Tamandua tetradactyla: one gene and its partners. The protein of the gene in region 2 interacts with the protein of the main gene of each other region in a biochemical or structural test. Links are inferred from orthologs where the notes say so. Each region holds a gene or a part of one and is shown on either strand. Other genes may lie near its edges. The genes, in order: ATP-dependent RNA helicase DDX19B, NUP214 and NXF1.

Region 1 (7,875 bases), on a different chromosome or scaffold from region 2:
CAATTTAAAAAGTTAAAAAAAGAAATAAAAAAGATCTGGTCCTAGATACCAACTCTCCCATGACACCTAAGCTACTTTTAGCATCTGTAAAATGGGCTTAGGATATTTATTTTTTCGTTCGCTAACAGGTCAAATGGAGGTGGGTGAATAGTTGCTTTGGGAGCCTCCAAAGGAAGCCTTCACTGAGCATACCATTATCATTTGTCATCTACAATGGTGCTTTTTAAACTGTAAGGTGCCTTAGGGATCACCTGGAAATCTTAAAATGCAGATTCTGATTTAGTGAATGTGGGTGGGGTAGGGACGAAGAGTCTGTATTACTAATGGGCTCCCAGGTGATAGCTATGCTTGATGTCCTGCCAGGAGGGGGGGGGGAATCATTTAACAATAGCTAGGGAGTACTCAAGGATGAGCCTATGTGTTCATATGTAAATATTTATAAATTTGGTCCACTCAGGGTGTATGTGTGTGTGAATTCTTCATTTTATTCACCAATAATTATTCACCAATAAATATCTATTAAGCGTTGGTCCCTGAGAATCAAAATTAAGGAAAGGCGATGCTGCCCGGCGGTCACAAAGCCCCGAATCTAGTGTGCAAGCCAAACATTTTCAAAAGATGACAAAGTTACGCAAAGACGCCAGCTGGGGCCAGTCTTTTGCCCCAAGGTACCCAAGCGCGCTTGTTCAAAGGCTGTACTGTTCCCTCAGCTGATTGGCTGGCAGGTCAGGCTTGCAGGCCTCAGCCAATGAGGTTCGAGCCCAGACAGTGTGGCCAGTGGTGTTGGAGTGTAACCGCCATAGCGATGGCGGGTGCTGCTGGCCACGTGAGAGGCTGGGCCCTGGGAGGGTTTGCACTTCCTCTGCCCGTGGGCGATGTGAGTATCCCTGAGGGCAGAAAGCTTTTTTTTTTTTTTTTTTCAGACTTAGGCATCCTCCTCGACCCCAACTTTTGGGTGAGGGCAGAAATAATAATAATAGCTAACTAATATTTATTGAACTTTTGCCATATGCCTGGCGCTGGGCCAAAAGCCTTAACTGTGTGGTGTCGCTGAATCTTTGAGCTCTGGAGGTGGGTACATAACTGCGTGTTCATAGGAAACTGAGGCTGCGCGAGGTCACATGGAAGTAAGTGCAGGAGGCTGAATCAAATCTAGATGATCGTAATTCCCCTCGCACCACTCACTCCACACCCCACTTTGGAAACCAGGTTCTTTCTCAGCAGGAGACTCATGTTGTGCCGGTATGTTCGGGATGGACGTAGGAGAATCTAGAATCTTGATGCTTGTTCTATGTATTGTTGTTTGTTTAGTAGAGAAAAAGAACACATGGAAAAGGCAAGCAAGAGAATAAGCACCAAATTCAGGATAGTTGTTATATCTTATGATGTGTATAGAGGGGGCTTCAGTTGACTCTTAGTTTACTTTCTTAAGTCCTGTCATGGGAACCTACATGTTTATCATTCCCTTTCTTGTTGATCTGGAATACTTTTAATTTTAAAAGGAAAACATGCACGTGAAAAAAAAATTGAGGATGAAGTGTACACTAGGGAAAGGAAGTCTTCTCCCATCTGTCTTTTAGAGCCTCCCACCAAAGCAGCCAGTTATCATTTTGTGTGTGTTTATCTATGCATTGTCTATTTTATATGCCAGCATATGTGAGTTTTTCTTGTTTTCTGCACAGATAGGGCCTACTATATATAGTCTTGCCCGTTGATGATTTAATTTTAAACCTCATTAAACTTTTTTTGAAAATTCCTTAACTTCCTTTAGTCCTGTGAAGCAGTGTCATTTCTCTGGCAAAGTATTCCCACGGGTTGCTTCTGAGTTGTGATAGGATAAGATGTAGGTGATGGTTCCCAGGCTGTCTGCCATTTTTTGTACATCCTCGCCTGCAGAGTCCAAAAAAAAACACTTCCCCAGATTACCCCCCCTAAATGATGCAGGAGAAAAAAGCAATTATGGCAAGTAGAGTATTCTCTGGAACTGCTTTACCTTTCCTCAAGACGTTTTTACTCAAACCCTACAGGTAAATTCCACATAGAGCCCCACTATTAATTTGAAATTGACTTATAGTGGAATATTGGCGAAGTGAGAAAAGCTGGGATTGATTTTCTCATGTTACAGTAACGTGCCCGGGTTCTTTCTAGTGAAGTAATAAGGAGAAAGAAGCTTGTTTGATTTCAGTTAGGGAAAAGCAGGTGTCCTGGCCTGCAGGGGCCTTTCTAGCCAATTGACTGGAAAGCACTAGGCATGGAATGGGACATGAACTTTATTATAGTAATTTAATTACAGGAGTGAAAGAAAGAAGTCAGTCTGGAAATCAAGCTCTTCTATACCAGCAGCCGGTATAGAGCTCAAGGTGAAAGTGTTTCACAATTAAGTGGGAATTAGCAGGACCAGTTATAGGGGCCCAAGACAAAGACAGCAGAGAGGACTCAGTGAAAAAGATTATAGGGAAACATGATTATCAGAAGGGAGGGTAAGGTACAAATTAACATTTTACACAGAGAGGGGGCTGGGTTCTTGAGTACATTGATCAACTGCACATTCTTCCTTTGTAAAGAGGTTAGCTGAAACATTAACAGACCCAGGCCGTGCAAGCAGCTGCGTGCTTTAGAGTGTCACAGACACTCAGGGAATGGCTCTGCCCCTGGGCTTCCACGGCAAGGGTCGCTCAATCCTTCTACCTCTTCTAAAAACTCATGTTATCACAAGTAGTGTGGACAACCAAAGCTATAGGCTGAGCCCCCAGTCTTGGGGTTTGTTCATATGAAACTTAACTCTGCAAAGGATAGGTCAAGCCTACTTAAAATTAGGCCTAAGAGTCACCCCCAAGAGAGCCTCTTTTGTTGCTCAGATGTGGCCTCTCTCTCCAGCCAACACAACAAGCAAACTCACCACCCTCCCCCTCTCTACGTGGGACATGACTCCCAGAGGTGTGGACCTTCCTGGCAACGTGGGACAGAAATCCTAGAATGAGCTGAGACAGCATCAAGGGATTGAGAAAAACCCTTCTCACCCCCAAAAGGGGGATGAGTGAAATGAGACAAAGTGTCAGTGGCTGAGAGATTCCAAACAGAGTCGAGAGGTTATCCTGGAGGTTATTCTTATGCATCAAGTAGATGTCATCTTGTTATTCAAGATGTAATGGAGCAGCTGGAGGGAACTGCCTGAAAATGTAGAGCTGTGTTCCAGTAGCCATGTTTCTTGATGATGACTGAATAATGATACAGCTTTCACAATGTGACTGTGTGATTGTGAAAACCTTGTGTCTGACGCTCCTTTTATCTACCTTGTCAACAGATGAGTAGAACATACGGAATAAAAATAAATAATAGGGAGAACAAATGCTAAAATAAATTTAGTTTAAATGCTAGTGATCAATGAAAGCAAGGGGTAAGGGGTATGGTAGGTACAATCTTTTTTTTTTTCTTTCCTGTGTTCATTTTATTTCTTTTTCTATTGTCTTTTTATTTCTTTTTCTGAATTAATGCAAATGTTCTAAGAAATGATGAATATGCAACTAAGTGATGATATTGTGATTTACTGATTATGTATGTTGTTTCTTTATTTTTTTAATTAATAAATAAATTTTCAAAAAAGAAACCAGATATTTATAATCCATATTAGATGTGATGATGGGATTACAAATAAAAAAAATTTAGTTTGAAATGCTAGTGATCAATGAAAGGGAGGGGTAAGGGGTATGGTATGTATAAATTTTTTTTTCTGTTTTCGTTTTATTTCTTTCTCTGAATAGATGCAAATGTTCTAAGAAATGATCATGATGATGAATATGCAACTATGTGATAATATTGTGAATTACTGATTGTATATGTAGAACAGAATGATCAAAATATAGGAATATTTGCATTTGTATTGTGTTTTTCGGTATTTAAAAAAATAAAATAAAGTAAATTAAAAAAAAATGATCATGGTGATGAACAAACTACTATGTGATGATATTTTGAGCCACTGATTGTACACCATATATGGAATGTTTGTATGTTAAGGATGTTTGTTTTTGTATGTTGTTTTGGTTTGTCAATAAAAAAAAGAACATTCAAAACGGTAAATAAATAACATAATATTAAAAAAAAAAACTCGAATTACTTCTTTTAAAAAATTCCCTCAGTCACACAGCCCTTAAGTAGGAGAATAGGGATTCTAACCTAGGCACAGCTCACTCCTTTGCCTGTTAAGGTGCCCTACCTTTTCTTCCACCTCATACCTGCCTCTTCATCCCTTTCTCTGGTCAATGCCCGCCTCCCCTGCCCTCTGTCCTCCCTAGTGTCTGTGCAGTTCTACAAATCCACCACTCTTTGTTATGTCTTATCCTCTTCCGGGCCATTTTTTCCCTTGCACCTTCCTGGAGTATTTTTAAAGATTAAATTCCTATAAGTGGTGTTGCCACATTGTGGGACAAATACTTACCAAGTGGTATTTGAGAGAACTGATTCCTAATAATTCTGGTCAACACAAGGACCTTTTAAATTACCCGCCTGAAAAGTGGAAATAATATCTACTTGTTTCAGCATGCATTTTGGTGGCTGTCTGCAATGGTTGTTTTCTGTTTTACTACATTCAGTTTCTCTGAGTATCTTCTATGCCACTGTGCTGGGCCGGAATATGGTTTTATTCTTTGGATAGACAACCAGTCGTTTCTATCCAAAGCTTGGGAGCTTGGGAACTTTTAGATAGCTATTTCAGGCCGCGGTTCTGGACTTTTGATAGGAAAGCTTGAGCTGCGCAAGGGAAAAGAGTGCCGGCCTGGAGGGGACACAATCGACAGCCCTGAAGGGGCGAGAGACTGCCTAACCGGCGCGGACCTTGACGTCACCGCAAAGCGCTGCTTCCTGTTCCCAGCCCCTTGGCGAATGACTTCCCCTGCTACGGGGTTGAAGCCTGACTTACCAGGATCCCCCGGAACCCACGATCGCGCCGTGCCATCCTGCGAGTCCGCCAGGGCAGGGGTCCCACCCGCCCCTGGGACTATGGCCACCGACTCCTGGGCCCTGGCAGTGGACCAGCAGGAGGCAGCGGCTGAGTCGGTGAGTTGGCTTCAGTAGTAAAGGAGTCAGGGGCCAGTTCTGGACGGGGATTTAATCCCCCAGGGAGTAGAATAGGGATGGAGCCTGGACCCTAAAATGACTTTGTTTACCTATCCGTACTGGAATAAGGATTGATTGTAGATTGTACTCACCGCCCCCTCCCCCCGCCCTGGATTGCAGTTACCTTTGTATATGTCATCCTCCACCTCCACATTCTGAGATTCTTAGGGTCAGAGACCATGACTTACTCAAATTATTGTGTCCCCTCAGTTTGCTCAGTGATGATGCATTATTGACTCAGTAGGTCTGGTAGTCAGTAAATCCTCTTCTGATCCACTTAACTTTGTTCGATTTTCTGATTCTGACACACAGTAAGCAGAATATGTCAGGTATTACTGTATAGATTTCACTTCTCCAGGCTGAGTAACCTAAGTTCTGATAGTGCTTTGAACTAACTTCTGTTAGTCCTGTTTTCTGTGACTTCCTCCAGAATAAGGGCCTTGTCTTATTTTTTATAACATAAAAAATGTTATACATGCACAAAGTTTAAAGAGTCAGATAGTTTTATAAACAGTGGTTCCCACCACCACCGATTTTCCATCCTCCCCCCCCCCCCAGAGGAGAGGCAACTACTTTTTTCTCTTGAAACTGATTGACAGTATCTACCACCTTTTTCTCTGAATAACATGCTTGTTTTGTAACTTTCTTGAGTTTTCAGTTTTCAGTATTTATTGATTTGGGCTCTTTTTCTTCCATCCTTCCTCCCTGACCACACATATATACTCTCCCATTCTCCATCTTTTCAATGTATTATATTGAAATTTTAGTTAGAGCATCGTTAGATCAAGAGGCACTTGCCTTTAGCCTCTCTAATACACCTTAAACTCAAAAGGGGATATCTATAAAATGCGTAAGAATAACCTCCAGGATAACCTCTTGACTCTGTTTGAAATCTCTCAGCCACTGACACTTTATTTTGTCTCGTTTCTCTCTTCCCCCTTTCAGCCAAGAAGGTTTTCTCAGCCCCTTGATGCTGAGTCCCAGCTCATTATAGGATTTCTGTCCCATGTTGCCAGGGAAGTTTACACCCCGGGAGTCATGTCCCATGTAGAGAGGGGAAGGGCCGTGAGTTTGCTTGAAATGTTGGCTGAAAGAGAGGCCACATCTGAGCAACAAAAGAGGTTCTCTGGGGGTGACTCTTAGGCCTAGTTTTAAGTAGACTTAGTCTATCCTTTGCAGGGATATGTTTCATATGAACAAACCCCAAGATTGGGGTGGGGGGGTGGGGCTTGGCCTCTTGGTTTGGTTGTCCCCACTACTTGCAAGAATATTGAGAATTCTCCAAATGGGGAAGTTGAATTTTCCCCCTTTCTTGCCATTCCCCCAAGGGGACTTTGCAAATACTTCTTTATTCACTATTCAAATCGATCTTCTATCTTTCTTTCTGGTTTCATTTGTGCCCCAGGTCTCCTCCTTCTATCATTCTCACATTCAGCTTCATTAGGTGTTCTAACATTATTGTACTACAATTAGGTAGTATTGTGCTGTCCATTTCTGAATTTTTACAGTCAGTCCTGTTGCACAGTCTGTATCCCTTCAGCTCCAATTACCCAAAATCGACCCTATTTCTATCTCCTGATAGCCTCTGTTAACTCAAATTCTCCAAGTTCATTCATTAATGTTAGTTCAAATCAGTGAGACCATACAGTATTTGTCCTTTTGATTCTGGCTAATCTCACTCAGCATAATGTCCTCAAGGTCTATCCATGTTGTTACATGCTTCATGACTTTATTCTGTCTTACAGCTGCATAATATTCCATCGTATTTGTATATCACAGCTTATTTAGCCACTTGTCTGTTGATGGACATTTGGGCTGTTTCCATCTCTTGGCAACTGTAAATAATGCTGCTATAAACATTGGTGTGCAAATATCCGTTTGTGTTCTTGCCCTCATGTCCTCTGAGTAGATACCTAGCAATGGTATTGTTGGATCATATGGCAACTCTGTACTTAGCTTCCTGAGGAACCACCACACTGTCTTCACAGCAGTTGTACTATTTGACATTCCTACCAATCGTGAATAAGTGTACCTCTTTCTCCACATCCTCTCCAGCACTTGTCATTTCTGTTTTTTTTTGATAATGGCCATTCTAGTGGGTGTGAGATAATATCTCATTGTGGTTTTGATTTGCATTTCCCTGATAGCCAGGGAAGTTGAGCATCTTTTCATGTGCTTTTTAGCCGTTCGTATTTCCCCTTTTGAGAAGTGTCTGTTCATGTCTTTTGCCCATTTTATAATTGGGTTATTGTGTTTTTGTTGTTGAGTTAAACAATCTCTGTATATATTCTGGATACTAGACCCTTATTTGATATATCATTTCCAAATATTATCTCCCATTGTGTAGGCTGTCTTTTTACTTTCTTGACATAGTTTTTTGATGCACAAAAGTGTTTAATTTTGAGGAGTTCCCATTTATCTATGTCTTTCTTCAATGCTCGTGCTTTGGGTGTAAGATCTAGAAAACCACCTCCTATTAAAAGGTTTATAAGATATCTCCCTACATTTTCTTCTAAAAATTTTTATGGTCTTAGATCTAATGTTTAAGTCTTTGATCCATTGTGAGTTAATTTTTGTATAGGGTGTGAGATATGGATCTTCTTTCATTCTTTTACGTGTGGATATCCAGTTCTCCAAGCACCATTTATTGAAGAGACTGTTCTGTCCCAGGTGAGTTGGCTTGACTGCCTTATCAAAGATCAGTTGACCAGGGTGTGCTACGGTGGCTCAGCTTGCAGAGTTCTCGCCTGCCATGCTGGAGAC
Region 2 (7,682 bases):
ATGAAGTTCAGGATTTCTCTCTCAAGTGAGAAGGCACATGGTGAACACAGTTAGGGCTTCTCTGTCAGCTGGAAGGGCACATAGCGAGCACAGCATCATCTGCTAGCTTTCTCTCCTGGCTTCCTGTTTTATGAAGCTCCCCGGGAGGCGTTTTCCTTCTTCATCTCCAAAGTGCTGGCTGGTGGACTCTCTGCTTCATGGTGCTGTAGCATTCTCTGCTCTCTCTGAATCTCTTTCATTCTTCAAAATGTTTCCTTTTACATAGTACTCCAGAAACTAATCAAGACCCACTCAAATGGGTCCTCCACCTAATCCAGCTTAACAACCATTATTGATTAAATCACATCTCCAGGGGGGTGATCTAATTACAGTTTCAAACATACAATGCTGAATAGGGATTAGAAGAAGCAGCTGCCTTTACAAAATGGGATTAGGATTAAAACATGGCTTTTCTAGGGTCCATGCATCATTCCAAACCAGCACATTGAGCATCTTGCTTGACTCACCCGCTGGGATGTAGTGGGGCTGGAATTCCAATCCAGCCTGTTTCTCTTCAGAGGTTACCCTCTGAACCCCCACCCTGTGCTTCTGGACTTTACTCTAAGAGCAGTGGGGAGGTTTTTGAAGATCTGAAGAGTTTTTGAAGAGTTTCAAGTAGGGTATTGGCCAGGTTTGTATTTACAAACTTTCTCTTGAACAGAGCTTCAGCCCAGCCTTGTGGTACCTACATGCCAGGCATTGTGTGCAGGGGAAGGTAAAGTCAGAAGTCTGGAGTCTCATCCTGCCTCTGCCTTGGACTACTTGTGTGATTCTGAGAACTCATGGCACCACTTTGCACCTCAGTTTTCTACTCTGGAAAACAGAGTAGCAGTGCCTTTCACACAGCTGCTGCCCTGAGCTTCCATGAGGATCCTGCTGGAGAACAGCTGGGAGGGCATTCTGTTGAGGACTCCACAGACTTGGGGGCTGGGATGATCTTTTCCTGGATTGGGGAAGGAGTCCTAATCTTCTTTTGTTTTGTTTTGTTTTCCTCATCCTCCAAACCAGAGTCATGATGTTTGAAGGAAAAGCCAATGAGAGCAGCCCCAAACCAGTTGGTCCCCCTCCAGAGAGAGACATTGCCAGTCTGCCCTGAGGACCCCTGCTGGACCTGGACCTGCCCCTGCCCTTTCCAGCTGCCTCACCCCCTGCCCCTCCCTCTGGAGCTCCCTGGCCTTCTTGACTCATTGTGATTTGTCTTGTTTGTTTGGTCATTGTGGGTTGGTTGGTTGTTTTCTTTGTGGGACAGAATCAGTGATCTTTTTGTAAAGCACAAATTATCTCCCTTAAAGAGGCTGTAGATGGGGGGGGTGGGGGTGGTCCTGAGCCTTCTGTTCTCTCCCTCTTTTCTCTCCTCCTTTTCCCCTCCTTGTGCAGAAGGGCTGACATTCAACCAAAAATTGCAGGGGATGGGAACAGGGCAGGGAGGCTGGGAGGCTTTGTTCCCCTCCTTTGGAGCTGGCACTGTCTTTCCTTCCAAGTCTCTGAGCCAACCCCAGACTTGTTGGCCTGGCACAGGTGGGGATCCCAGTTCACTTTCAGAAGGCCTAATTCCACCTTTAAGGGAGGATGCTGAGTAAGTCAGGAAAATGAACAATAAAATACTCATGGTAAAAAGTCTGCCCTACCGCTAAGCCAAGAGCTGAGAAATAGAAGATTGCCTTTCTGATCTCAGTCTGCTTAAAACTTGGCTGAACTTCCTCCGTTTGCCTTCCTACCTTACTACACCATTTAGTCAACAGATACTTGTCAACAACCATTATAAGCTCCAAGTCTTCCCATTTTATCCTGACATGTGCTGTGTCTGCTGTGTAACTAATTTCTCCTTTTCCCAATCACCCAAAACTTTGAACCTGGAGATTGGGTTGGGGCATCTGTGTTCTTTATTAGACTCACAGGATTTAAGAGCCCAATCCACCTTGCAGGTTAGCTAAGCCAATCCTCTTGTTTCATAGGTGAGAAAATTGGCAGTCCATAAGGACAAAGTGCCTTGCCCCAGGACAGAGAGTTAATTTGGAGATGGAAAAGTCCAAACTAGAGGCAAGGTCTCATGATCCCCCTGGCCCATGCCTCGTGTCTTCTCAGGACTGCCTCAAGGATGAAAACAAGGAAAGAGGCAGGTAGGGGCGGTCTCCTAGGTCAACACTTGGGTAAAGCTTCTCTCTTCTGAAGGTCCTCTGTGAGGATTAACCCTCCCCAGCCTCAGAGTTTGAGTCAGTGTCACAGTCTGCATTAAGACCAGGCCTACCTCTGCAGTTCTGCATTCTGCAGAGCTTCTGCCAAGTCTTGGAGACACTTTCCTGTCACACTTGACCCCTTTTGGACTGAGCAGAGGCTTCAGCCTTTACCCCTCCCTGTGCAGGGCTTAGACATACTCATTCATTTAACATATTTATTAAGCACCTGCTATGGGCCAAGAACTGAGACTCCAGAAATGAAACAGGACAGACCCATGGAATTTAGAGTCAGATACAGATGATGATGAATGTTAGGAAAGGGGGTGGAACATAGAGGGATGACTGCCTGTAATTCTGGGGTACCTAGACTTGGCCCAAGACTGAGCTACCGTCTGGAGAAGCCTTTGCAAAGCCTTAAGTGGAAAGATCTGGGGGCTGTTGGAGGTTGGGCTCCTTGCACGCTCCTCAGTAACGAATAATCAAGGCTCCAAGGTGCTGCCTCTACACCTTGAGGGGGTAAAGCACCTAGAAGTTGGAAAATGGCCCAGTTGGATTAGTCTGCTGGTCTCAACCAGTTCAGGAGTAAGACTACTTGGACATGACTGGCTGATCTTCAGCCTAAGAAGCTGCTTCAAATGCACAGGCCTAGTTGAAGATTAAACCTCAGCAAAACATTCAACCCTGTATATGTTAAATCCTACTCCCTCCATCCCGCTGGCCTTTTTTGTTTTTTTTTTTTTGCTCCCTAAGATCATTAGGTTAGCAACTGCCTGTCCTCACCTCTTCCCACTACCTCTCTCTGGGACAGGTTGGGACCTCTGAACAAAGTAAAGCCTTCCTTGACTACCCATCACATTCAGTGTTCCTGTTTTACTCAGAGAGGAAGACAGAAATAACTTGGCTTATTTCGGTGGGTTCCATAGCTTGCAAGAAGACAGCAGGAAGACTTGTGAAAGGAGTGCAAGCAAAAGCGTGTCCTGGCTTCTGGAAAGGGCAGGAAAGAAAGTGTCCTTATTGGATAGGGGATATGCTGGGAAATCTCATCAGTTCTTTTACCACTTTTTTGAACTCAACCTCTGGGGGTAGAGGGTCTTGAGAGTGGTCCCTGGGAGAGGGGGTCTGTATGTATTCCAGATTGTGGCTGTCAGCTCCAGGACTCTTACTTCTCTTGGTAAGGGCTCATCTTGAAACCTCAGCTGTTTTATTTCTAAAAGACCAAATCTAATTGTAATGTAACCAATAACTAGGGGATGGCCAATATGGTTTTGTCCCTATGACAAAAGGAAGGAGTTTGTCAGGTAAATTCAAGCGGATGAAGTATGTGTGCATGTGAGTGTGTGTGGTGTGGGAATATCTGCTCTACAGATTGGGAATAAACCAGACAAACTTATCAGCGTCCTGACTGGTGTATTTTGGGGGCAGTTCCTGTGCTCTGCAAAGTCAGAAGAGCTACCTGATATAGAATGACATATAGAATAGTATGGAATGAATGTGTCCTATGTGCCCGGCTTTGTTAAGCTCTGAATTTCATTTACTTCTCCCAACAATGCCATTAGATAGGTTCTTGTTATCCTTGATTTACATATGAGAAGAAGGCTTGGAGCAAAACAAACAAAAAACAGGTGGCAGAACACTTCCTGGGGAGTGTGGGCTCCAAGTTAAGAATCCCTGTCCTAGAGCATTTGTAATTCCACTACAAAAATTTCTTCTATATCTATGTAAATGATTATCAGCATATCCAGATAATCTGAATTCTAATCCTGCCGCCACCATTTTCTGACTGAGGGTCACTAGGGAATTTTCTTAACTTCTGTGTTTCAGTTACCTAATCAGTTAAATGGAATCAATAATCCCTGGGGGTGAGGATGTTTTAAGGATTAACATCCCTAGGGATGAGATAACTTTTCTAAGGTGTTCTGCACAAAGCTCCGAACAAATTTTGTGACCAGGGGTGGATATGGCTCTTGTTCTTAAAATGATTACCTTCAAAGGAGTAAACAAGGCTGGCATATGGTCCCTTTAACCGCCCCATCCAGCCTTCATCCCTAGATACAAAATGGTCTCGGGTGGCGAGGTCCTGTCCCACCCACTTTCTGAACTTCTCTCTGCCTTCGCCCCCAAAGTTTCTCATGAGCTGGAAATGAAGTTCCTAACTGACTTCTGCATCGGAAACAATATCCGCCTACATCCAAGGGTTACCGGGAAGTTTCAAATGAACGATGAGAGAAGGACACTTAGACGTAAGCAACCCACAGAGAAAGCAGCGCGCTCGGCCGGGACTCCAAGCTCCAGGCCGCGAGGCGCGGGTCCCGAGGCCACGCCCCGTACTCGAGCCGCCCAATGGGAGGCATCGGCCCCGAGAGCGCGCGCGACTTCGGGTGTTCCTCAGTCTTGTTAAGGCACGTCGCGAACCGGGGTGCGTGACATCATCAAAACGCGCCGGAAATGCGGAATCCTCTGCGCGCCTCTACCGCTGAGGGAAGGAGTTTAGTCTCGGAGCGTCCTAGGCTCTTGGCGTAAGGCCGCGGGCGGCCTGGGTGGCTGCTTGGACAAACTGAGTGCGGCGCGATGGGAGACGAGATGGATGCGATGATCCCCGAGCGGGAGATGAAGGTCAGAGGCTGTCCGGGGGCTCCCTCCCTTACTCAGTCCTGGCGTTGCCCTGGAGTCCCGCGGAACGGCCGGGTGCCCCGCCTCCTTCTTGAACGTTTTACCGTGTTCAGAGTTCTCATCAGCGGGTCCCGGGGCACGGTGCCGCGTTGCTGGCGTGGTAGTCCCATTGAATGCAGTTTCACGTCCCTGGTTGGTCTTGTTCACGCCTCTTGAATTATGTTGGCTACTTTCATGTAGTAGTCACAGTAGTGGTAACTACTACTCATTAAGCGTTTACTGTGTGCTAGGCACCGTGTAACCATTGTCTCCCTGATTGGTCACAGTATTCCTACGAAATAATTGGTAATATACCCATTTTACAGAGTAGCATATTGAGGTTTGGAAAGTAACTTGCCCAAAGTCGCATTTGACCAGGGGGCTGAAATCCATGTTTATTTTTCTTCATTCTTCATTTGCTACTTCTATAGGGTGGTCCAGACTTGCCTAGCACATAGCTAGGGAATATCACCTAACCTATGGAACTTTTAGTTAACTGGAATAGGAGGACTACTTTGGCACCAGAAATCAGCTTAGTCAGAAAAGTGGGGAAGAACAAGTGGTCCAGATGATGGTAAAGGAATCCCCAGGGATAACCACCAGGATGATATTTCTTAAAAACGTTCTGACAGAATGAAGGTACAGAAAACGAGCTACTTTCTTTTAAATAAGAAACAACTAAAAAGGAGTAAGCTGCAATAAGATTTCAGGCGTTTGTGTGAACAACAAATCATTGAAATGCATTTAAGGGATAGTAGTTTCATATACTTGAGCAGTGATTTCTTCTTTTCCCTTTTGAGAATCACTCTTGTAGTGAGCTACCCTGGAATAATGTTCCTATTCCTCAAATATGGTGGGAAAGAAGAACAGTTTCAGAACAACTGCCTTATGAGATTATAGTTTCCTTTTGAGTTACTTATTACAACAGAAAAGAGAGCTTCTGTGCCTCTTCATCCCACTGGCCCACTATACCCATGTGACCAACACCCAAATGTATTTGACATTATCACGAGAATTACAATAAAGCCTAATAATTTTATTCTGCTTTATTCTATGAATATGATCTCACTTGGAAAGTTGTGTGAATTTCTAATCACTCAGTTGAAATTAGAGAAGAGTATTTCAATTGATCTTTCAGCAAATATGTATTAAATATCTAATCCAAGGTAATTAGTATATGGGGTGCAATAGTGATCCTGTATGAAACGAACAATCTAGTTTTTCTTTTTCTTGAAGGTAAGTTTAGAATTGAAGGGGAAAATTAACCATATAGAATACAATTTAACATAGTGACTGGTATACCTTGGTAGTGCACTTGTGTCATGAGGTGAGGCTGCTGAGGTGGACTGGACAAGCGATATCTAGCCTTGTAGATTGTGTTGAGGATTTTGGACTTGTGTTTTATATGTTCTTCTAGCATCTTGGTTTTGCTTAAAGATCTTGAACTCTAAGTAAGCCAATTCTTGGGATTTGGTCCTCTTTCTGTGGTTATTTTAATATGTGTTTGAGGATTACTGCAGTAGAAGTTAGCACTTATACTGTAGTTGGGTGATGCTTTCGACATTTCACAAATTATTAAGCACTGTTCTGGGTCATGAAATGATACATACATAACGCAAAATAGGGCAAGATTATAAACAAAATGCAGTTTTGCAGTGATTTTGACAGTAAATATAGTAGGAATCAGGAAAAAGAAAAGTTCAACGTGAGCCAGATTAGTCAAGGAAGTCTTCATGAAAGATTTTTTTTTGTTTGCATATTTTCATTTATTTCATTCAACATATAGTACATACTTACTATGCCAGCCACTATGATAAGAGTAGGAAGTTTAAAGACTGCTGAGACACAGTCCTTGGCGTCACAGGATTATATATTTTTGTTGTACTGGAAATTAGGTCTGTTGGCATATATTGACAGTCATGATGTAATTTCCTTTTTGCCCTGAATTGGTCTTGTTTTTATCCTTTGCAATAGGATTTTCAGTTTAGAGCACTGAAGAAAGTGAGAATCTTTGACTCTCCTGAGGAGTTGCCCAAGGGGCGCTCCAGTCTGCTTGCTGTGTCCAATAAGTATGGTCTGGTCTTTGCTGGTGGAGCCAGTGGATTGCAGATTTTTCCTACTAAAAATCTTCTTATTCAAAATAAACCTGGAGATGATCCCAATAAAATTGGTAAGTTACCTGATTTATGTTGCATAATAGAGGAGTGTTGTATAGTGCTAATGTAGTTTCCTTCTCAAGAAATCATTCCAATATTGAAGTTAAACTGCTGTTTTAGTCCTAAAGTTGATTCCCAAGAAGAATAAATTCCAGGTGGGATTCTGAAAAGCTTTTCTAGGTATTCTCTTTGGTCCTTTGTATTTCTCTTCTGTTGAGTAGTTCCTTCAAGCTTAGAGGGAAGAAGAACTTTCCATTATGCTATGCTTTTATTTTAAGATGGTTTGGCTTTCTAGAAGGGTTTTGTCTGTGGCTTTTCAGTTGATACAACAGTACTGTTCAAACAAATGGGAATGTGTAGTATTTGGGAGCATTGTTGCAAAAATGCAGGCACAAGACTTTGTTTTCAGCAAAGAGTAACAACCAAAGTCAGTTTCCCTAGGTTGAATGAGGAAGAGTCCCTGGAATACTTAATGTGTCATTTTACCTCTGTATGAAAGTTAAGTTTTATCTACATAATTAAGTATCAGGTAGGGGTGTGTGTGTGTGTGTGTTTGCGTATGTGTGTTTATTTAGAGGCAAAATTATTTCACATAGAGGATAAAGGAGTTGTCGCTCAATGCTTAAAATATTCCATTTTCTGTTTTGTCTTCTTTTTATGT
Region 3 (7,610 bases), on a different chromosome or scaffold from region 2:
CCCAATCCCCACCCCTAACCAAGCCAGGCCCTTGACACATGTACCCGTCGATTTTCCCGATCCAAAATCTTATAGTTCACAGCCTTCAATGCAGAAGCAGTGCTGGCATCCTCAACAAAAAACTGGGCCCGACTGTTCTCATAGTGAAACTGCAAGAAGAGAAATAACAGGATTAGATCTGGAGCCCAGAAACACTTGTCTATCTTGCCCCCTCCACCCTCCCTGATGCCCAGGCAGCCTGCCACTCAGGCCTTGTCTTACCTCGATGGGTGTGAAAGGGACACGGCACTTGCTCTGAATCAAGTTCAATAGCCATGACTTGTCATATTTTCTGCCGTAAGGAATCTAGAAATAAGAGAAAGAGAAAGAAAAGGAACAATATGCAACTAAGGCTGAAAAGCAGACTTGAAGGTTCCTTTCAGACCTTCTGCCAAGCTTTAAAAGATTTTCTAAAGAAAGGACCAGCCATATGTTTTTCTATCTGAGCCATACATGGACTCCTTAATCTTCTTTCTGTCCAGTTAAAATTATTATTTCTCCAAAGGATAAAAAATCTGGGTTATAAAAAAGTATCAAGATATTATTTATACATTGCCTACCCCTCACAGAACTCCAGGAACTCCAACTCCCACACCTGGTCAACTCCACACTGGGCCTGAGCCAAAAGGAGACATCCAGAGGAGTTACTCCAACTCCTGACCACAGTTACCATGCTTACCTTTTGAGGGCCTCCCCCATCCTCCCTGTCCTCTTCTATCCCTTCTTTCAACCCACTCTTAGGTGTTCAAAGATACTGATCCTCAGCAAAAAGGACAGGCATCAAACTGTGGAGGTCACAGCCAGAAAGACTGATTCTCTGGAGTTAAACACATTCTCCGTGGGCCCAGCCCCCAGTCTCAGCCGCACCATCTACTTTCCCAAAAGTACTCACTGTAATCTTGAACCAGTTCTTCAAGGTCCCATCCTGGCTGGTGCCAGCCGTTCCTCTATCCGAAGAAGCCCTGTCTCTCCGTACAGTAACATGGATACGGTCTCGATCACGCCAATTATCACCCCGACGGTTGGGTCGGGCAGCATACGGGGTGCTGGGGGAAGCAGAGAGAAAAAAAGTCCATATTTGCAACTTTAAGCCTTCTCAAAGACTTTCCTACACTGCTGTCAGAGATGTAACTAAAACTATTCATCCATTAAGCTGATCTAGTATTTATCAGTCTTCCAAGTGGGAAAGAGAAATAACATGGGCAGTTGCAGGGCTGCATCATCTAGTGTGTCACTAAATTCAAACCAGATCAACTGGCCACTTACTATCGTACTCGGGGACCATCTTGGGCATCACTCATTGGTACATCTCCATCATCTTCCTCAATGCGGGAAGATCGAACACCAGAACCACCTCGTCCAGACCGACGATTCCCTTCACCACACTTCCACCGGAAAGGACCCCGGCCTTTCTTTCTTCTTTGAGGGAAATTAACACGGTCATCATGCTCTAGAGTTGGAAACAGGAACACAAGTTAGAAAATACATCATCAGCAATTACAGGAGCTATTATCCTGCACTATTGGAGGAGACACATACTAACAACAGAAGCCACCTCCACCCAAATTCCTCTGCCTGTCCAGAAGAAAGAACCCTCTCTACGAGATGGAAACATCAGAAAAATTCTTGGAAAACTGCACAGCGTTTCTGAAAAATGAAGATTTGATAGACTGAGAGAGTCACCCAAACTGTTCTCTCTCAATCTATCAAATCGACTCAATCCCACCCAAATTTTGGAAGGCAAATTCTCTGACACATCCTAAAACGAATCAATCACAATGATTACATCAGCACTCAGTAACCTACATTTCTCCTGCCTGTGCGTTACAGATGTCACTCAAAATCTGCCCAACCTAAAACATCTCCCTGCTATTATACTGCTACTCATATTTCCTGAGTGCTCCTTTTCCTCTGCCTGAGATGCCTTTTAACACAGGACACAACTCCTAGACTCAGGCTCTAGTAACCAAGGGTCCAGGAATGTTCTCCAGGAATATGACCCTCTTTAAATCTAGGTGGACAGGAGTTTCTTTAAAAAAGTCCTGTGACGCCTAAACATGTCTGCCTAATGCCGACACTGAGCCTCAAAAAGGACTCTAGGAAAAAAAAAAAAAAGATAACAGCAGCTAACATTTACTGAGAGCTTTCTCCCTTGCCAGGTGCTATGTTTCAGGCCCTTGATAGAAATGATCTCATTTAAACACACACATACTCTCTCTCTCACACACACACACACACCTTTGAAGGTAGCTGTTGCTTCTACCCTCATTAAAGAGGTGGAAAATGAGGTCTGAGAATTTAAGTAACTCACTAAAGCTTGACCTAGTCGAACGAGGATGCAAACCTCGGCTGCCTAGAGACCCTGACCACAACACTGAACTAAAACTCAGGCGGACTAGAACATTGAGACGGTGTGTAAAAAAGCTAAAATACTAAATGAGAGCCGCAGGTCCTCATTTAGTCGCGGTAGGAGATAGGGTACCAGGACAGCCCAAGAGCGAGCACTGAGTCACTCACATTAAAAGAGTCTGGTCGCCAAACTGAACTGACCAGCATCAATCACCCACAAAGTTTAAAGGATTCTCGTCACCCCATCCCTGAACTACTTTGCTTCGAGCCGCAGGTCCTCACAACACCAGGACTCCGGAGTCGCGTACCCCGGGGTCCATCCTCGAGTTCGGCCGAGATCCCCTTCCGGGCTGCCTGGTCCCCGGCGGCCCGCCCCACCCGCCCCACGCCGCCGCTCCCCGCGGACTTCGGGTCGCGAGCGGCCTCATCACCTGGGGCTGCGGCCTAGGCCGGCGCCGCCCACCCGGGCACCAAATCGCTCCGCTTCGCCACCGAAAGCCAGCACTTACCACTGTACGACTTCCCTTCGTCCGCCATGGTACAGAGAGAGGCAGGGACAGGCTGAAGCGCTGCCCAGGAAGCCGCCAAACGTCCAAACTGAACCAGTAGCTAAGGGCCGAAGCGCTTCTACGCCGGGCGCCACAGCATTTATTCGGCGAAGTACGTCTCGCGCTACTGACGTCACGGCGTTGTGGGCGGAGCCTCTGGGGGCGGGGCGGGGCGGGGCCTGCCTGCGCGTGCGCACTTCAGAAGGCGGACGCTTAGGAGTCGGGTCTTGTCCCTCCCACGCCTCGCTCGACTGAGCTTTCCAAGCCCAGGATTTGCTGCCAGCCTACCACCACCACCTCCTTTCATCCGTCTGCAGACTTCCAGAGTTAGTGCCGGAGCAAAGAGCAGAACAATGGCACTCGGGGTGCTCCAGTCCAGAAATCCGAGAGGAAGGCGGACGAGGGGCGGCCCGAAAGGATACTGAGGAATGGGAGTCCCGGACCTCGGAGCGAGTGATCGCTTACCGACACCTCGCCGAATTCAGCTAGTGTTTAAAAGTCTCGGCTCAGCTCTTTATCGGCTGCTGACCTTGGGGCTCTTTCCCATTCTGTAAACTGGATTAATAAGCACGAAATCAAACTCTAGAATGTGAACTCCATGGCTTTTTTCTCCAGCGCCGGGCCCAGTACCATGCATGGCACCAAGTAACAACAAATACTTGTGAAATAACTTGTTTTAACCATGCTCCGAGAGTTGCCCAATTAAATGGGACTGCATTTATAACAGGCTTCGGCGACATTCCTCTTCACAAACCAACCCAATCGCTACTGGTGTACTGTGCCAGGCCCACATCACATGTGGACTGAGTATATGGTGGAGGTACAAGCGATGGAAGAGAAGCCAAGACAAGAGGAAATCTGTAAATGCCGGGGGTGGAAAAACCATGGACTTCCCTAGACCCCCAAAAGAACTAGGACAGGCTGAGTATGGCCAACTGCAGTCTCTACGGCTTGAGTTTTGTGTGAACCAGGGCACTCACTCAAGTGATCTCAGAATGGTGTGGTTGTGGGTCCTGGTCAAGAAAGATAAAGAAGCACATTAAGCTCCTAGTAGAGGGGGTATTCTGGGCAGGTCTCTCTCCATTCTCCTGTGACTAGTTTGGATTTGGTGAAGACTTTAATGGGAACTAAGAGATTCAGCCGCCGCAGGAACAAATTCACCTTCCGCTCCTGGCAGCGGACAGAGCTCTGAATTGGGGCCAACAGGTTAAAGGATTAAGATGAAACCGGTCCAAATACTGCTGCTCAAGGCAGTCCTGGAAGTTACCACCAATCAGGGAATCCCCTCCTCCTTTGATATGAAGTTTCCATTCAAATTAGGTGCTACCGCACTTTGTAATCACATGGCTGGAGGCAGCTGTGTGGTACAGACGCCAAAGGCTGCAAAGGTCAGCTGTGGGGCCCCTCTGAACCATTAGCTGATCCCTTTCAGTTCCGTTACTGGGCAGTGGGCTCAGCCCACTCACTGCCTAGGTAGGCCCTTCGACGCTCCCACCCAGAAATGACGACATGGCTAGTGAGGCTGACAGTCTTTCTGTAATTGGAAGAAAACAGGCTGCAGTGCATTTGGCATTCTGAGAGTCACTAGCAGCCAATGTTGGGGGGGTTGTGCAGGCAGCCAAAGGGCTCAGGGCCCTCTGCCTCACTTAGTGAAGAGAGGAAAAATAAACAGGTCAAGTTCTAACCCAGATGGGAAAGTTGGTCCCTGGGGCAGTTTCTCTTCCTCTCCTCACTCTCAGAAGGCAGGGAAGGTCATCACTTCCCCTTGCTCCCAGTTTCTTTTCAGAGAGGCTGTGGGGGGTTTATAAAAATTTCCTAGTGGAGGCAGCCTCCCCACTGGCCCCCAGCTAGCCTCTGCTCCCTTCCAGCCACTTCACAACAGAGTCCAAAACCAGAACCCTGTGTGGTTTGTGGGTCTGGGGGTGTTAGGGGAGAGGCAGGATAGCCAGAGGCAAAACATGGTTGGAGGATCAAGGGGCAGTGGCCATTCTTAGCAGTTCCAGGGAAACAGGGCCTTTCTTCCAAGCACCCTGTACAGGCTCAGTGGCAGCAATGGCCACCTGCCCCCCCAGGTGGGCTTCAACCCCCCATGGAGTGCCTCAGAGTGGAGAGGATTCAGGCAAGGAAGACCACAAAGATGATGAAGAAGACAATGAGGATGAGGAAGATTTTGACCATGAGCCACCGGTTGGAGGTGACTGACTGGAAGTACTTGAGGATCTCTGAGTGGGCAGCATCAACATCCAGCTGGGCTCCCAGCACGTTCTCGTCGATCCTGGGACAGGGCCGGGAGAAGAGGAAACAGAAGGACACTGGATTAAAAAGAATGCTGTTGAAGTGTATTTATTGACATAGAAAGATGGACATGGTACGTGGGGACAAAAGGGTCGATATACAATATGATACCATTTATGTGTGTGTGTGTGTGTATATATATATATATATATATATTTGTAAACAGAAAATGCCCTAAAGGATATATAATGAAGTTTCACCTCTGGTTTAATGACCCTAAGCCAGTGATTTAACCTTGAGTCTGTTTTACTTGCCTGCAAAATAAGGATAACACAAACCCAACCTCTCAGAACTGTCAGTTTTAACCCACAGTAAAAGCCCCCAAAATGTTAGCTATTAGAATTTTTTGCTCATCAGTATTTACTGAATTTTGTCTAATGACAATGAAATGCACTTAGAAGTTCACAGACCATTACAGTCAGGAAATCCTAGTTCTAAGATGGGAAGATAAAAATTAATGATATGAACAGGAAGGCAGGGGATAAGAAAAACCCTACATTAGGAAAACATATGTCTCTTTAGGATATAGCGAAGTCTTCAGAGGAAGGACAATCTCAGGAGAAATTGCTGAGGCAAATAAAATATTTTCCAGTCACCTACAGTTACTATCCTATAAACCGAATACAAACTCTGGTCATTGCAGTGGAAAGCCCTGGCAACAGAGGCTTTTGAGAGTTGTGGGCATGAAAAAACTGGAGGAGCCTGACAATCCAACTGGAAAGTGACAAAAGAGGCTGGGCCCGTGGTTGCAAGCCCAACGGTGTAGGCGTAGGTAGGCCGACATGAACACTGGTGTGAGCTAATCTCAATGTCTCAAATACAGGAACCTGAATTGTAATTCCCCAGTAATGTTAAGAGGCCTAACTAAAGTATCAGGTTTCCTAGCTTTGGCTTTAATTACATTTCTCAGTGTGGGGGCATTTGTTATCTCATACTGAATAAAGCTCAAATCAACAATTACAAATGGCTTTGCTTGGGAAAAATAAATGCAATCTGGTATATATAATTTTTTCAATGAGTCTATGATTGAAAATTGACAGAGGGGAACTCTGGTGGTGAAAAAATTAGGACTCAAAGGTGTTGCTGGTTTTAAACTATTATATATCCCAGAAAAGCCAGTTTAATCCTGATCCAATCTTGTGAGGCCAGACCTATTGTTTAGGGTGGAAACCTTTGATTAGATTCTTTCCAAGGAGGATGACCTATGCAATTTGTGGGTGTGATCTTTTGATTAGATGGAGATGTGACTCTACCCATTCAAAGTGAGCCTTGATTAGTTTACTAGAGTCCTTTAAAAGGGGAAACATTTTAGAGACACTTCAGATGTAGACCCTTGGAGAAGAGTTGCTTCAGAGCGGACAGAAACACGGATGTTTGGAGATACATGGAGTACCAACTTGGAGAGCAGATGCCTAGACATGGGCAGAGCCCAGCAGACATCACCATGTGCCTTCCCATGAGATATTACACAAGCCAAAACCCAGAGCTATTTCCCAGAGGAGCTAAGTGAAGGCCCACAGATGCTTAGAGAGGAAACCACTGATATCAGAAGCTAGAAGCAATAGAATCAGGAACAAGGACCAGCAGACATTGGCCTTTCTTTGGAGTATCGGTATCTTTCTCTGGATGCCTTAGTTTGCATAATCTCATGGCCTTAGAACTGTAAACTTGCAACTTAATAAATTCCCATTTTAAAAGCCATTCCATTCATTTCTGGTATATTGCATTCCAACAGCTTTAGCAAATTAATACAAATGGGATATTCAGAGGAAATAGCAGGGGAATTAGAAAACGGAAATGAAAGGAATGGCTTGGGAAGGAGAAGGCTGAAGAAAGCAGAAAAGGGAAAGGTTGGCAAAGGGGAAAAAGACACAGGAATGTTTTCTGAAAGAAAGAAAAACTACAGAGGAAGGGAATCAAACAGTAAAAAGTTGGAGTCTGGCTGAGTGGAAAAAACACATAATGGAAACCAGAGCACTATAAAATGAGTATGAGAAACTGGGGACAAAAAAAGAAAAAGTTGAACCCCAAAGAAGATGGTACCCCAAAACCTAGAAAGATTACTTGGATCATGATTAGGATGCCTGGGATTTAGTTTTCTGGATTTGTTTCTCCTCAAATTTTATATGATTGAGAGTAATGAAAGCTATGTGCAGAGGACACAGAAACTGACTTGAAGTGGCTCCATATGACTTGAAGTGATCACCATAAAAGAATAGTGATAACGGATTATGATACATTAAATAAAAAAAAAAAGAAAAGAAATCCATGATTCCACAGTGATACTTAAAGAAAAAGAATGCCTCTTCTTTCCAGAAGAATGCTAGCTAGTAAATGTAGAAGAGTCTAACAAAATGATGCAGGCAAGGATCATAATAT

The links.
Region 1: the proteins of NUP214 (region 2) and ATP-dependent RNA helicase DDX19B are reported together in a solved structure, tested with the Homo sapiens proteins (2 studies listed by IntAct, with this or other methods). The link is inferred for Tamandua tetradactyla from reciprocal best matches to the Homo sapiens genes NUP214 and DDX19B.
Region 3: the proteins of NUP214 (region 2) and NXF1 form a complex in vitro, tested with the Homo sapiens proteins (4 studies listed by BioGRID and IntAct). The link is inferred for Tamandua tetradactyla from reciprocal best matches to the Homo sapiens genes NUP214 and NXF1.

Annotation. Positions count from the first base shown.
Region 1 is NC_135342.1:68,643,550-68,651,424, reverse strand, and holds the start of ATP-dependent RNA helicase DDX19B, read left to right. Parts: upstream 1-4,838; 5' UTR 4,839-4,878; coding exon 4,879-5,052; intron 5,053-7,742; exon of another isoform or gene 7,743-7,782; intron 7,783-7,875. UniProt on the Homo sapiens protein: ATP-dependent RNA helicase involved in mRNA export from the nucleus.
Region 2 is NC_135328.1:54,075,512-54,083,193, forward strand, and holds the start of NUP214 (nuclear pore complex protein Nup214), read left to right. Parts: upstream 1-4,630; 5' UTR 4,631-4,784; coding exon 4,785-4,829; intron 4,830-6,839; coding exon 6,840-7,035; intron 7,036-7,682. Other genes in the region: AIF1L (allograft inflammatory factor 1-like), read left to right, coding at 1,048-1,135. UniProt on the Homo sapiens protein: Part of the nuclear pore complex. Has a critical role in nucleocytoplasmic transport.
Region 3 is NC_135335.1:11,787,297-11,794,906, reverse strand, and holds the start of NXF1 (nuclear RNA export factor 1), read right to left. Parts: upstream 3,071-7,610; 5' UTR 2,926-3,070; coding exon 2,898-2,925; intron 2,741-2,897; exon of another isoform or gene 2,557-2,740; intron 1,490-2,556; coding exon 1,306-1,489; intron 1,086-1,305; coding exon 932-1,085; intron 346-931; coding exon 262-345; intron 150-261; coding exon 45-149; intron 1-44. Other genes in the region: STX5 (syntaxin-5), read right to left, coding at 5,052-5,211.